Saccharomyces cerevisiae S288C: one gene and its partners. The gene in region 3 interacts genetically with the main gene of each other region. Each region holds a gene or a part of one and is shown on either strand. Other genes may lie near its edges.

Region 1 (6,357 bases), on a different chromosome or scaffold from region 3:
GTCCGGAATATTACTAGTATTAGCGCCTACAAATCCTAATCTTGGAGCTTCGTTTTCTATATCAGTTTGAGGTAAGACGTTGTTTATTTTGAAGTTTGTATTAGGAAGTTCATGAGGTCTTTTGTCAAGATTAGATTTAGAAATTATCGAAGAAAAAAGGTCCATATCCTTCGTTCTTATCTGATATGTTTGAGAAATCGGCACTGTGTAATTCATAGAAATCTTAATAAAATCATAAGAGATTATTTTGTCTAGTTCTGTTGCATCGTCATCGTCGTATTCATCCATCTCGTTTCCGCTCAACAACTTACCACTTCTTGATTTAATATTATTAGTTTGCGTTAGAGCAATTCCTATCCTACAACATTCTCGTAATAAAAGCTCTGAAGAAAATTTGTAGAACTTGTCGACTAATTGGTAGTTTCTTGTACCCTGAGGATAAAAGTGAATGAGGATTGTACAAACCAGCTTAATGTCGTGATACAGCTTATAAAACCCACCTTGTATGGGTTCGTACTCTCCATTTTCAAACCTCTTATTGATAGTTGTCAAAACTAATTTATCTTCATTACGTATCAAACCTTCAGAGTTACTTCTATTTTTAATGAATTTACAATATGATTCATATATCTTATCCGGATTTTTCTCAAAGAACTTGGCTGGAAAACTTTCATCTACTACATGACATTTCACAGAGGCAGCATTCAAAATGGATTGAACATTTACCAAAAAATCTACTAGTTTATTTCCACCTACACTTTCTGTCATAATGAAAACTTTCGATTTTCAAAATTATCTCTTATTTGATCCCGACTGATGATGATTTTCTTCGTCTTCGTATTTCTATCGTCCATGCCTTATGGCGCTGTTTTATTTTCTTAATTGTTTTTTTAATAATTGCAACTTAAAAATACGGGTAACGGAAAAGGAAGATAATAGAAGTTGCATGAAGTAGCTGAAGAATAATTAGTTCTTTCGGGTTGAAAATAATAATAAATAAAGTCTTTATATATGAGTATGTGGTATGACTATTCAAACAGCATCTGGATTTCTTCAATTCTCCTTTTTCTTCTCTCGTCTTCGTCTGTGTCCATGGCCTCACCGATGGTTCTCTTCTTTTCTTGAATGCGTAGCATTTTTTCTTCTATGCTATCTTGTATGATAAATCTCATAACTTTGACGCTGTTTGTCTGGCCAATTCTATGCAGTCTATCGATTGCCTGATCTTCCATACTGGGCGACCACCATGGGTCCATCATATAAGCGTGGGAAGCACACGTTAGATTCAAACCCACGCCACCAGCCTTCAGCGAGAGTAATAGGATTTTTTGCCTGCTATAGTCTTTAACGGCAAAATCTGCTAATACACTAGTTCTTTCTTTTAATGAGAGACGTCCATCGAATTTATAAATTTTTGCAACATCTTTTGAGAAAGTATGAGTTAGCTCTTTCTCCAGGATATCCAAGTATGTAGAAAATTGGGAAAAAATGACAACTTGTTCGCCTGCCGAACTATCCTGTAGCAATTGAAGCTCCTTCAATAAAGCAGTGATTTTGCTTGATTTGGAGGCTGGTGAATATGGTTTGAATTCCAAATTTTTCGAGTTGCTATTCGTTTGTACCAATGCCAACAACCGACAAGCGTCTATTTGGTTACGGCAATTGGGGCACTTTAAACCCAAATTCTTACTGTTCTGAAACTCAATATATTCAAATAAACATTTCTCACAAAAACTGTGGCCGCATTCTGTAAATAAAGCCTTGTCCAAATCCATAGGTTCCGTTGTGCAGATGGAGCACTCTAAGGACTGAAACGATTTATTGTCTGGATATTTAACTTTTAATCTTTGTATCATTGCATCTAATTCCTCCTTAGAAAATGAGTTATCGAATCTCTCGGAAACAACACGCATTAAAGAGTCAAGCTCCACCGTTTGTTCCGTAACCAATTTATTATTTTTAGATAAATCCTCATCGTTCTCATCTTGACTCCCAATAAGACCGGGATGGCAACAGACTTGCCTCAATCTTAAAATATGGACAAGGATAGTGGAGTACTTTTTCAATAAATCACCGCGTGCAATACCCGATTTAACAGAAACTTCAGCCTTATCCAACAGAAACTTGTATAGAAGATCTTGAGATTTACTGAAGGGAAGTCTTTTAATAACGACCTCCTTTGGTGGCAACTCTACTAATGGCTTACCATCTTTATCTTTCATTTGTTTTGTCCTTCTTAACAATACGGGTTCCAGAATTGCATTCACCACATCAAATGCTTGTTTGTAATTTTTACTCTCAAAAGGCGTTGATACAAAGGTCTTCCAGTAATTAATTTGCCGCCAGGGATCTAACTCTAAAAACTTAACCAGACTGTATAAATCGTCAAGCCTGTTAATAATTGGTGTTCCTGTTAAAACCCATTTACATTTGCCTTGTAAAGCCATGACTGCTTTAGATGTAACTGTCGTTCTGTTTCTAATGTTATGACCCTCGTCGATTATTATGCGATAAAAATTGACAGAAAATAAGCCTGAAGATATATTGACGTCCTCATCTGTCATCCTTCCCTTGGAATGTTTAGTCCATTCATTTTGAACAATACCATATGTAGTAAGGACTACAGTTGGAGGGGTTTTTGTCTTGGTTAATAGGGTTTTCAAACTGGAAACATTCCCACCATAATACACCTCATGATACATATCGGGGGAATTATTAGCTTTTGTAAACTCGTTACTCCACTGCGTTAACAAAGACATTGGGACCACGATTAGCGTTGTTTTTGAAGCATATGGTTTCTTATTATCTTGCCAAGTGCTTGGAAGATTATCTGAGACTGCTGTGTTCTCAATATCAAACAGTTTCTTGTCAACAACATCACTATCGTGAGGACAAGATAAAACTAAAGAATACGCTGCCACTGTTTTACCCAACCCCATTTCATCTGATAATATGCCACCCTTTATCATAGTTTTTAATATAGGTTTTGCTAGCGAAAATTCACCAGAATGTAAGTTCGCATAAAAGAATATGCCATCTTCAACGTTTACATGGTCCTGCTGCAAATTTTGAGCTGCCCACGACATATCATTTGGCCATTTGAACTGCTTCCATAATGGGTTTATCATATTAGCACCCGTTTCTGAAGCCTCACCATCAGAGGCTGCTTTGGCAAACTCTTGCTCCCTCCTTAGCATCCAAGTAAGACCTTGCTTTTGATAATTTCTTAGTTCTAGCTTGAAGACATCGCGAGAAGGTTCTGTTTCAGGCAAACTTTTTAAAGATTCTGATGATTGTGCGGCCTTATAAAATGTTTTCAATTGATTCAAGTTCATTGTTTCTTCTTCGTGCTGAGTATCTCGGAGATTGTTATGGACTTCAGTCACTTGATTAGAGCAAATCTCGTCGTTATCTAAATCAATGATTTCGGGGTCACTATTAAGCTCTATTTTATGCTTTTCTAATGCCTTCTGCTCGTCCAAAATAGGCTTTAGCCTCAATTTATCAAATAACTTTAGTAGAGCCAGTCTTTTCGAGCGGCTTTCTAGCTCTTCATCAGTTTCAGTCAATGTTCTTCCAAAATTTCCATTGTCTTTCTCTCTTTTATTTCCTCCCTCTGTACGTCTTCTTTTCATCAAGGATTCTCCATCATTACGTTCCTCAAAAATGAGAGATGTTAAAAAGCAATCCAATTGTAGAATAAAGCTATCACCTATACTCAACCGTTTATTATCACAAAAAATCAATGTAACTTCAAAACTTATTTCGTGTGAACTTAAAAGAGGGTATAGTATTTGAGCAATGTCTTCCGAAACTCTGCCAATTTCTCTATCATATTGGATATCAAAAATTCTTACCAAACTAGCCATGGACGCTTTCTTTCTACCACGTGAGTCATATACTTTAGTAGCAGAAATCTCTTCACTTGATCTCTTTAGCTTCATCTGAGAGCCGTACTTCAAGGGCCTGACGGTGGGTCTGGTAGCCATACCAGTGACTTGCAAAGCACCTATAAATCTTTTCCAAGTAACTTTATCTTCTAATCGTGTTTGGTTTCTGAACCCGTATATTCTTCTTCTTTTAGGATGGAATGAAGATGGGGACAAGGTTGAATTTGAGGTATCTGAGAGTGTATTTAGTTGATTCGGGGAAGACGGTATTTTGCTGATAGACGTCCCGCTATTGTGATCAAAGTAATGTGATAATGCTAAAGAGAGCCCTTCCTCCTGACTGCCGAATTTTTCATTAAGTTCCATCACAAGATCCTTTGGCATTTCTGGAATAATCCTTAAAAGCTCTGTAATAAACTGATTCTGGCCTTCTTCTTCTATTTCTCGCCTGACTGGCACAATAGATCGGTCTCCCTCTCCTTCTGTTGTATCACTCACTGATACAACAACATCATCATCATCATCATTATGACTATTTGCAAATAAAAACGACTCTTTATTCTCAGATTTGAAGTTTAACGATGTTTCTGAAGTGTCAAGGTCATCGTTAAAAAACCTCTTCCTTTCTTCCTGTTCAATATGACTCATATTGTGATACTGTAAGACTTTAGGTGTGTTTCTAAGGCCTTTTGATAATGTAACTTTGTAGATAATTTACTTTCAAGTGAGCAATGCGCTTAGCAGTAAGGAATAATGTGTGGAAAAGTTAAGGGTTTATGACGCGTAAAATTTTCAGCCAGACGACGCGCCAACTAACATGTAAGAAAGTAATAATTTATGAAAATTTAACTACTTATTGATTACTTAATCTTCTAATACAAGTATTTTTTGTTTCTAGAATAGAATTCAATCTATTTATCCGTGCAGAAAGGTCCAGAATGAGGGGTTTTACTTCATTTTGATTTACAAAGCCTTGCTCTTCTGCAGTTAATCTTTTGGATTTCTCTCTGATTATCTCAGAAAGAAACTCTATTATCACTGAACTTTTCTTTCTTCTCTCATTTTCCAACATCAGAAAAAGCAATTCGTTGTCAGTGTCCTGCGATAAAGTTCTTAACTTTTTCTCCAGGTCTTGTCTTCTTTTGATGGACTCTCGTACCCGAAAGCAAAGATTATTTAGTTTGGCTAATTGAAAATTTCTTTCTTTAATAGCAGCTAGCTCGCCTCCTTGGATTAACTCTGATGCAGATTCAAATTTAGATTCAAAGCTCTTTTCCAAAAACTGTAAAGTGTTCCATTTATCCCTTAAGGGATCATCATGCTTTTCAAATTCAAAGGCATCTAGAACATCAGAAACCTTAGTACCATGAAAGTCGATATTGGGATAAGAAGTTCTCGTATTTAAGACCGGCATAATAGGAGTTACTGGAACTGATGTGTTTACAGATGTAAAACCATCTGTTTCACTCAACTTCTTTTCAAGTTTGTTAATATTATTCTTAGCTTCAGCCTTCCTATGCTTATTTAGTATGTTTTCGAGGCGTATAATCTCAGTGATTAATCTGTTTTGTTCCCTTTGAAGATTTTTTTTTTTTCCTTCATCGAAGCTACCTTTATATTTTGGGCTGCTGAGTCAAACCGTTCTTCGCCAGATTGCAAATCCTCTCTTTCAGTCAAATTACCACACGTACTAATCTCTAAAGGGCTATGTTCATCTTCACCCGGTTTTAACGAAACGAAGCTGTCAGAAGAGCGTTTGTTTTCCGCCAAAGAAGTGTTTTTAAATGAAGAAAGCTCAGAATTGATATTGCCCTGCTCCAACACTTGTATAGGGGGGGTCTCTTCAAAGGAGAACAGGCCATACCTTTTGGAATCTCCTTCAGGACTCTTTTCATGTTCACTAGTCAGGTTTTCTCGGACATTCTGCTCGTTAAGATTATCAACTTCACCCAGGAGGCCTTCTCCCCGGTTACGTGCCTCCGATTTTACGTCACCGATTGACTTTATGCTATTCTTTCGAGACAATGGCCTCTTTTTAAAGAAAGTACTCACTCTCTTGATTAACCCAACAGAATTTTGACACTCTTCATTTGGATGTTCCTCAAAACTTAATCTCTGTTGAGCCACATTTCCTGAATATCTTTGAGTTGAGTACTCTTTATTTTGCCAACAATCATGGATAACCGGATGCTGCGGCAAGTCCATGTCCCGAAAAGTATTAGCTACCAACGTCATCTCGACATGGGGAGCGGGCTTTGTGATCATTTGTTTTGGAATCGAATAATGGATAATCCTTTTTGGAATGATCGGTGTCTCTTGAACATACTCCATAATTTGTTCACCTTCCATCTCATATATTACATATAAGGCCACACACAGACACAAGCTGAAACGAAAATATCTATAAATATACACTTCTTAATTTGTATTCAAGATATTCTTATCAAAGCACTTATTTTTTCATTAT
Region 2 (3,578 bases), on a different chromosome or scaffold from region 3:
TTTGCTATTTAGGGGAGTCAGTAGAAGGTTTTCGTGTGATTCATCAACTGTTTCTTGAGAACTATTCAACTGAGATGAGAGGGCTGAGTCTGATTGCGTGTGCTTGAGCATGTCATCACCATAAGCGCTGCTATTTTCATGCAAGGATGTAACAGTGTGTCTCAAGGCGCTTTCCACAGATCTTGGACGATTGATACTGGTGTTTAGCGGTGGTAATTTTATGGTTCCGCGATCATCGAGGTGAAAACTCGTTCTTGGATTAGTGAAGCTTGGTGATACGGGGCTGGACGAGATTTCGGTTCCCGATAGAAGACTAGATAGAGAAGGTAGCATTTTTGTTTCTTGTGACATCAAGAATTGATCAAATCACAAAGATTGAAGGGGAAAGGTAGTGGTCTGGAACTGTTACCTCGTTGTTCTGTGGTCACCACTGTGTTTTCACCCAAATCATACTGAAATCACAACATAGAGTCTTGTTAAAATGCCAAGGCATATATATATATAATAATTACAAGAGTTCGTGTCCACTAAAAACCGTATAGAGCAATAAGTAGCCCGAAACAGCATACAGATTGTTCGCGTTTGAAGTTTCCACGTACTAGGTTGGACATACAGTTGCAGAAGCCTTTAAGCATCTGCAGTAATTGGCGACTATAGCGAGCTGTACCATTTTGACGCCCTTCCCAAAGAGGAAACCGGGCACCAGAAGGAATTCGCGGTGTTCCCCGTTTGGGGCATGGCGTGTCGCCTAGAAGGGAAATCATATGAAAGAAAAGAAGCGTCGCGTCTCAGCGTATGAAGGGCAGCAACAGAGCTAAAGTGAGTGTGGCAGTGAATGGTTTACGCGTTTTAGAGCCAGACGATGATTGTTATTAGAACTGAGCTAGTGTGAATAGCTTCTTAGACGGTAGTGTATCGTTTTGTCAGTGAATAGCATTAAGTTTATGGGTTTTATATATAGATAGATAGGTATAAACGTAAAGAGTGAATTTTAAATAAGTAGTCATTTAGACAACTCTGCAAGCGTCTTATTTGTTGGCAGCTTCGAAGTATTCCTTGGAGTCTTCAACGGTTGGCTTGATGGTAGCAGCACCTGGAGTCCAGTTACATGGCAAGACAGTACCGTTCTTGTCGGTCCATTGGAAGGCTTCAACCAATCTCAAGGCTTCGTCAACGTTTCTACCGACTGGCAAATCGTTAATGGTGATGTGTCTAATGACACCCTTTGGGTCGATGATGAACAAACCTCTCAAGGCGACACCTTCTTCTTCGATCAAGACACCATAGTCTCTGGACAAAGAGTGGTTGGTGTCAGCCAACAATGGAATGTTGATTGGGCCCAAACCACCTTCCTTTCTTGGGATATTGGTCCATGCCAAAAGGGAGTATTCGGAGTCAGTGGAGGCGAAAAGAACTTGAGCGCCTTGTTCTTCGAATTTCTTAGCAGCTTCTGAGAAAGCAATGATTTCGGTTGGACAGACGAAAGTGAAGGCCAATGGAATAAAGGCTAGGACAACGTACTTACCCTTGTATTTGTCCAAGGAGACTTCGTCAAAGACACCGTCGACGACGGCAGTTTTCTTAAAAGTTGGAGCTTGCTTTTGAACTTGAGCGACCATTGTGTATGTATGTGTATGTAGTTGTGGTTGGTTGTGAGCAATTGAACGAGGGGAAGGCCCGTTGAGAACGGTTCGGCATTGATCTGACGAATTACCTCCCTTTATATATGTCCTGGTTTGTTGCCAGCCGACTTTGCCAACCCGAGCCAAACCGAAAAATCCCTAAAGGACAATTTGTCAGAAAACCCGACGGGCCAGAACAGCATGGGTTTTCGTACACCTTAAACGCATTATATAACGTGGCCACATCGCATTGCAATTAGTCTTCATCAGGAATGTAGAGATGAGGTTGCGCACCTGTGGCGGTGGGTTCTTCCTCGTCAGGGATTATGAGGGCCTCATCTTCGTTTTCCTGCTGTTGGGCAGATGGAGCCGGTTGCTCACGGTCCCTTGCTCTCTGTGCAACAATATCATCCAGCTTCTCCTTCACATAGGGGAGTAGTGTAACCCAAAAGAGCACGAAGTTCTTTATCACAGCGGTTATCACCCTATCGTTTACCGGGTCTGGAATTATGTATCTGAGTACGACATCAAGGACGTTATGCTCCGCTATTTGCGAGCACAAGGTTTGGAACCATCTTCTGTACTTGGGTAGCGTATTGATGTCTTTCTTTTGGGACTCCTTCCAAATCATCAGCAGCAATTCGTTCAAAGAGTCTTGAGGATATAGTGTGTTCATGTTTCTTGTCGTTTCATACAATTCGAAAAACTCTTTGAACAACTCATCTAGCGCGTCCTTAGGAATCTCACCCGATAGCACCTTGATAAATAGCAAATTCAATTGTCCAACGTCAGGGGTGTTGGTGTCGTACTCAATATCATACTTAGAATAGACCGATAGCCTTTGCTCATGTAGATTAGGTATCATCAGTAAATCAATAGCGGATTGAGTGTCCTTACATTTCTTGTAGAAATTTAAGGTCAATGAATTGGAATTGATGAACTCCTTGATCTGGCTAAACTTGACTTCGTCAATTTCATTCAAGTGGAGATAGTCTCGCCATAAATTCCACACCTCTTGGGTATTCCAAACAGTCCTAAAAATGAAAAGCAAGCTTAGTAAAATGATATATTTCCAGGGAAGGAAGCTTCCAAACTCCAAAATAATAAAAAAGGGAACCAATGAATTATAGCCAATTAAGTAAAATGTTCTTATCAATACCAATAGCAGCGGGAAGCTGTTTCTCAAGGGACGCACTACCCTTCTATTCCACGCTGACTCGTCATTCTCAACTGTATTATTATCATTTGCCGAAGAGGTATTATCTGCAGCTCGAACATGCTCACCAGACGGATGCAAGAGTGTCGAATCCCGTGGTCTCTCGATTTTGAAGTTCAAAGCAGATTCTAACTGCTCTATCGCAGATGGTGATAGCAAAATATTATCGCCATTAATTCTGTAGTCATTACTAGATATGGGGATTTTAATTTCACCGTAATCGCCTTTGATCACGGACAAATAGCTCGATTGTGGATTTAGTTCGCTAACAGGAATGAATACTACTTCATCCCCGTTGATAATGCATTTCCTATAAAGCTCATCTGTGGGCACGATGTCATTTCCAGATTCGGTTACGTATGGTATACCCCGTTCTTCGCCACGTATTGCAGCAGGAGATCGTCCTTGCGTCGGAGCGAAACTAACAGGTGACTGTGACCTTGTATCTGGAGGCATGAATTGGAAAATATTCGGATTGTTGAACACTTCATTCCAAAATCCAGGCCCAGATTCTGTATACTCTTGGTTGATTTGTACATGGACCTTCACTTCATGTGGCTCTTTAATGTACTCGCTGATCTTTGAAGAGTTGCCTGCAAAATTATTTTCATGAAGCAACTGTCCCTTATAAATCAACTTGATATCATTTCTCCTCAAGTTTAATGAGTGAGTGTAAACAGAACATATGAAATCTTTCACTTGTTTTACCGTGGTATCGGGCTTAACATTCATTTGAGTTA
Region 3 (4,612 bases):
CATATTCTATTTAGTATTTTTTTCCCTTCAGGAAACGGTGATTAATGTCTTCTTACAAGTTAATGAATAGTATATATATGTAAAAAAAAATTCTGCTTCATGTATATACGCACCTCGTTATTGAGGTATTGCGAATGTAGCAGTTGAATAAGCAAAGACGAGGTTTGTACATCTTGGCATATTAAATGGTTATTTCGGGGTTTGTTTCGGCTCAACGGTGATATAAAAAGAAATCCAGTACTGTTTACCATTGTGCATCCGTACATTTGATTTGTTTACAACATCTTCACATTTCCATTGTGGAATCATTTTATTTTTTTCAGAATACCTTACCCGCAAGCAAACTTTCAAGCAAACTTACAATTTGCAAAATTTCATCGAATTCTCCGCAGGACATATTATAAAAGTTATGTCATCTCTTATCACAACAGGTCTATAAGTGTTCCTTGTTCAATTGTTTTTCCCAATTCAAAACTCTTCACGGAGCAGTTTAATTATCTTACTGTCGAAGAAGTCAAAAACTAGACTATATATTATTGAGAAGAAAAATGTCTGACGTTGAAGAAGTCGTTGAAGTTCAAGAAGAAACTGTTGTTGAACAAACTGCCGAAGTTACTATCGAAGATGCTTTGAAGGTTGTTTTGAGAACCGCTTTGGTTCACGATGGTCTAGCTAGAGGTTTGAGAGAATCTACCAAGGCTTTAACCAGAGGTGAAGCTTTATTGGTTGTTTTGGTCAGCTCTGTTACTGAAGCTAACATTATCAAGTTGGTTGAAGGTTTGGCTAACGACCCAGAAAACAAGGTTCCATTGATCAAGGTTGCTGATGCTAAGCAATTAGGTGAATGGGCTGGTTTGGGTAAGATCGACCGTGAAGGTAACGCCAGAAAGGTTGTCGGTGCCTCCGTTGTTGTTGTCAAGAACTGGGGTGCTGAAACTGATGAATTGTCCATGATCATGGAACACTTCTCCCAACAATAAACGGTGTGATGTTCATTAGTACTTTTTCTAGAGTTAGATCACATAATAATATATAGTTAAACTTTTATTTAATTGTAAGTTATATGTTATAAAATTACCAAATGCTGAATGAAGTTCTGCGTTTTCTGCGATGCTGGATATTGACTTAAAAAAATATAGGAATATCCTTTGTTGGATACTTGCAGTGATTCTCTTCATCCTCACTTTCCCTGTTTTTATTGTTTTCTTCTTCAGATGGTAGTTTAATTTTTTTCCCATTCAATTGCAGCAAGTTGTCATTTGAAGTTTCATTGCCTTTATCTGTACCATATCTTTTTCTTATAGTTGATTTTTTAAAACTATTACGATTGCCAAGTTCATTAGTCTCCATCAGGAGTTCTATTTCTGTCTGTGCTGCCTCATCTATGGATTCTTTTTCTAGCATGCAAACCTCAATTACTATACCGGGATAATCCTTGGGTAGCTGCAGTTGGCGAATACTACCTGGTCGATTATTTGAAGGTCTTGTAGTATCAGTGATAATGACATCGTCTGTTTGACTTAGAATATTTACACTCAATACGCCATGAACATCCATCCTGAAAAGGACTTTGCTTGCAATTTTAGTACTCTTTCTGATTTTATCAAACGAGGTGAAATCGAAGAACCCAATTACAGCAAAACCATCTATTACTGTTGTGGAATCTCCGTCAAATACTTGTAACTTCTCTAGTATGGATCTGTTACTGGGTAATTTTATTTTAGAAAATCCTAGCTGAGATTTAGATATCAGGGCAAATACATTCTCATCATTCGCCTCGGTCTTTGCATATACATAGCACTCTTTGCATCCGATTTCTTTTAGATCCTTTAAGGCTGAATGAAGGGCTTCGCCCTTAATAATTGCCTCAAAGCTTATCCTTTCTCTATCGAGTTCTAGTCCATTAGTATCAAAATCCTTAATTAAGTAGGTAGAGTACTCCACTCTCTCAGAAATGAACGAGTCTTCAAATATTAGTACAAATGGTGATCCATGTCCATCATAAGATAAAGTACACTCAACAATGTCATCCGAATTCCTGTTCATCACGCTAACGCTATCTAAGATATGATTTATTTTTACACAAAGTTTCATGTGATCCTCAGTTTCATTTCTATACGAATAAGACATAAATAGCTCCCGAGATAACAGTAGTTGGATTTTTATCACATGATTATTCTCCCTGACAAATGACAGCCCATCAGCATCAATGAATATAAGCACATCGTCTTTAGAACCAAAAGGTGTTAAACAACTTAAAGCAGTTGTGATATGTTCTAAGTGCACCGTTGAGGCAGAAAACTTGTTCGCTAGCTCACTGTTGATTCGCATAGTTGAAATCCTTCAACTACTTTGTTTCCACACCGTTCTGTGAGATTGATTTGTATAATCACATTTTTACCGGTAACGTTAACTTTTGTTACGCGTCTCTAGCCACCTTAGTGTTTATGTAGGAAAACTTTGATGGAAAACTAAAATATATCAAAGGAACTTTGGTTGCGTATATAGGGTTCTTAAATGTTTATTTATCAATTTCTGCCAGAGAAAGTGTTAATAATAATTCTCTAAACTATATCTCTCCGTTGTCCTAACACCACTCCTTCAGTAGCCTGAGATGCACCTTTCATATAACCGTATTCAAAAGTGCTCCATCCAGTACCATCTTGTAGATGTTTTGGTTTAGACTTAACCGGGGGTCTTGGCTTCTTTGTTGACAGTTGTGGTCCTAGAACTGGAAATCTATCTGTATGTTTTTTGTTGGCGTAACGAGATAGTGACTTCAACGTTTGGAAAACAATGGCAGGATCCTTTTTCTCAAAAAGATCAATTGTCTGAAACAGTTCATCTTCAGGCACACCATATTTTCTCGAAAATGATAAAAATTGGGAAATTTGATCCATTTGAACAAATGGCATTTTAGAGCTCTTCCAACTAATATGGTTAGCTTCTCCTGTGTCTGCTTCATATAAAATATTTGCCAGCTTACATAGGACTGTTCCATCTTTCAAGCATTCCAATAAGTCTCCAGGAGGAGCTATCTCTTTTAGGACAGATTTATATACCCATATTTTGATATTTTGAATTGCTTCCGGTGAAAATTTGCTTTCTCTTAGTTGTCTCAAATCTTCATCTAAGGATGTGACATCTGCCTTCTTATCGTAACTCATCGGTAAACTTTAGCTGTACGCTTACAAAGAAGTCATTTACTTAGACACTACTTATATCTTAGCTTTACTATTTGCGTTTATACTCCTTTTGGAACTCCACGGATGTCCAATTACACGTGATGAATGGGTGTTCAGCATATGTTACAACTATAATGCATGACATGATGAATATGTAGTGGTAATCCATGCTGTATTTTGTTATTACTGTAGCATGGTATTGATGCATTTTTAATTTTTATAATGCTGCTATGGAGCGATCCATATCGACGACAGCTTTAGTTCATGGCGGTCCATTTATATTTTTGTGCCCGAATTACTGACACATTTAAAAAATGATGCAGTGTCAATATTTTGGAAGGATGATGAAGCAAAGTCGTAATGCTATTTTAAATAATATTTAACCTCTCTGATTTATAGATGTAAAGAGAATAAGTATGCTTCCCATTAAAGTCTTCTCTTTATCTCGGATTTTTGTTTTGCTAGCAATCTTCCGACAAATACACGCTATTTCCATTAACAGCTCTACTTTCCAGGTTTCTAACTCTTTTACACTACTGAACAACGCATCGACTCTATTCCCAGTACCATTTGATGCATATACTAAAGAATATCTAAGGACTTCGGCTCTGTTGACTTGTGCTAAAGACTCACAGTTTTCTGCATCGTATTTCGAAGCTGCTTTTTTCCCGAGAAATAATACTCTATTCTTTAATGTTGAAGCACAAACAATTATGAGCGAAAACATAACCATCAAGGCAGAATTGATTGCATATGGTCTCAATGTTTATACCAAAGTTTTTGATCTATGTGGAATCCAAGATAATTTATTATGTCCGTTGAAGCCGGGAAATATAGAACTCATGGGAAGTTATTATGTTGAGGCCGCGGTAGCTAGCCAAATACCAAGCATAACATATAATATACCTGACTTAGACGCATATATTGTGGTGACAGCATACTCCACTATTGATAAAGAATTTACCAAACCTCTAGCATGTGTACAAGTGATGTTATCAAATGGTAGAACAGTCCAAACAGAGTATTTATCGTGGAATCTAGTGATATTGACAATTTCCGGAATTATGTTTTCAGTGGTTTATTCTTTGCAAGGTTATACGGTTACTTCAACAAGACTGGCGTCTTATTCAATATCGCTACTTTTATATTTCCAAAATTTGGCTATTTTAGCTATGATTAGTGTATCATTTTTACCGCCTATTGTCGCCGCTTGGACTCAAAATTTCCAATGGTCAATGGGAATAATAAGGATAAATTTTATGCAGCGGTTATTTGACTGGTATGTTGTCGCAACATCTGGGTCCCCCACCGTTGTATACCGCAATAAAGAAGTTTTATCGATCAGTGTTCAAAAAAGATCCTTGAACAGTAAAATCATATCAGCGTCAAGTAATTTAAATGGTATTGAAAGTTCCCAAAAAAATGAT

Evidence for each region. A genetic interaction does not mean that the proteins touch.
Region 1: mutations in RAD17 (region 3) and RAD5 together harm fitness more than expected from each alone (negative genetic interaction), as found in Saccharomyces cerevisiae (8 studies listed by BioGRID, with this or other methods).
Region 2: mutations in RAD17 (region 3) and TSA1 impair growth when combined (synthetic growth defect), as found in Saccharomyces cerevisiae (5 studies listed by BioGRID, with this or other methods).

What each region holds. Positions count from the first base shown.
Region 1 is NC_001144.5:203,172-209,528, reverse strand, and holds RAD5 (DNA helicase RAD5), read right to left. Parts: upstream 4,539-6,357; coding exon 1,029-4,538; downstream 1-1,028. Other genes in the region: RSC58 (Rsc58p), read right to left, coding at 1-768; YLR031W (uncharacterized protein), read right to left, coding at 4,744-5,304; YLR030W (uncharacterized protein), read right to left, coding at 5,448-6,239. UniProt on the Saccharomyces cerevisiae protein: Probable helicase, member of the UBC2/RAD6 epistasis group. Functions with the DNA repair protein RAD18 in error-free postreplication DNA repair.
Region 2 is NC_001145.3:218,179-221,756, reverse strand, and holds TSA1 (thioredoxin peroxidase TSA1), read right to left. Parts: upstream 1,620-3,578; coding exon 1,029-1,619; downstream 1-1,028. Other genes in the region: YOX1 (Yox1p), read right to left, coding at 1-351; USA1 (Usa1p), read right to left, coding at 1,879-3,578. UniProt on the Saccharomyces cerevisiae protein: Thiol-specific peroxidase that catalyzes the reduction of hydrogen peroxide and organic hydroperoxides to water and alcohols, respectively.
Region 3 is NC_001147.6:1,024,562-1,029,173, reverse strand, and holds RAD17 (Rad17p), read right to left. Parts: upstream 2,332-4,612; coding exon 1,126-2,331; downstream 1-1,125. Other genes in the region: 40S ribosomal protein eS12 RPS12, read left to right, coding at 549-980; SCP1 (Scp1p), read right to left, coding at 2,565-3,167; YOR365C (putative flavin adenine dinucleotide transporter), read left to right, coding at 3,602-4,612. UniProt on the Saccharomyces cerevisiae protein: Component of the checkpoint clamp complex involved in the surveillance mechanism that allows the DNA repair pathways to act to restore the integrity of the DNA prior to DNA synthesis or separation of the replicated chromosomes.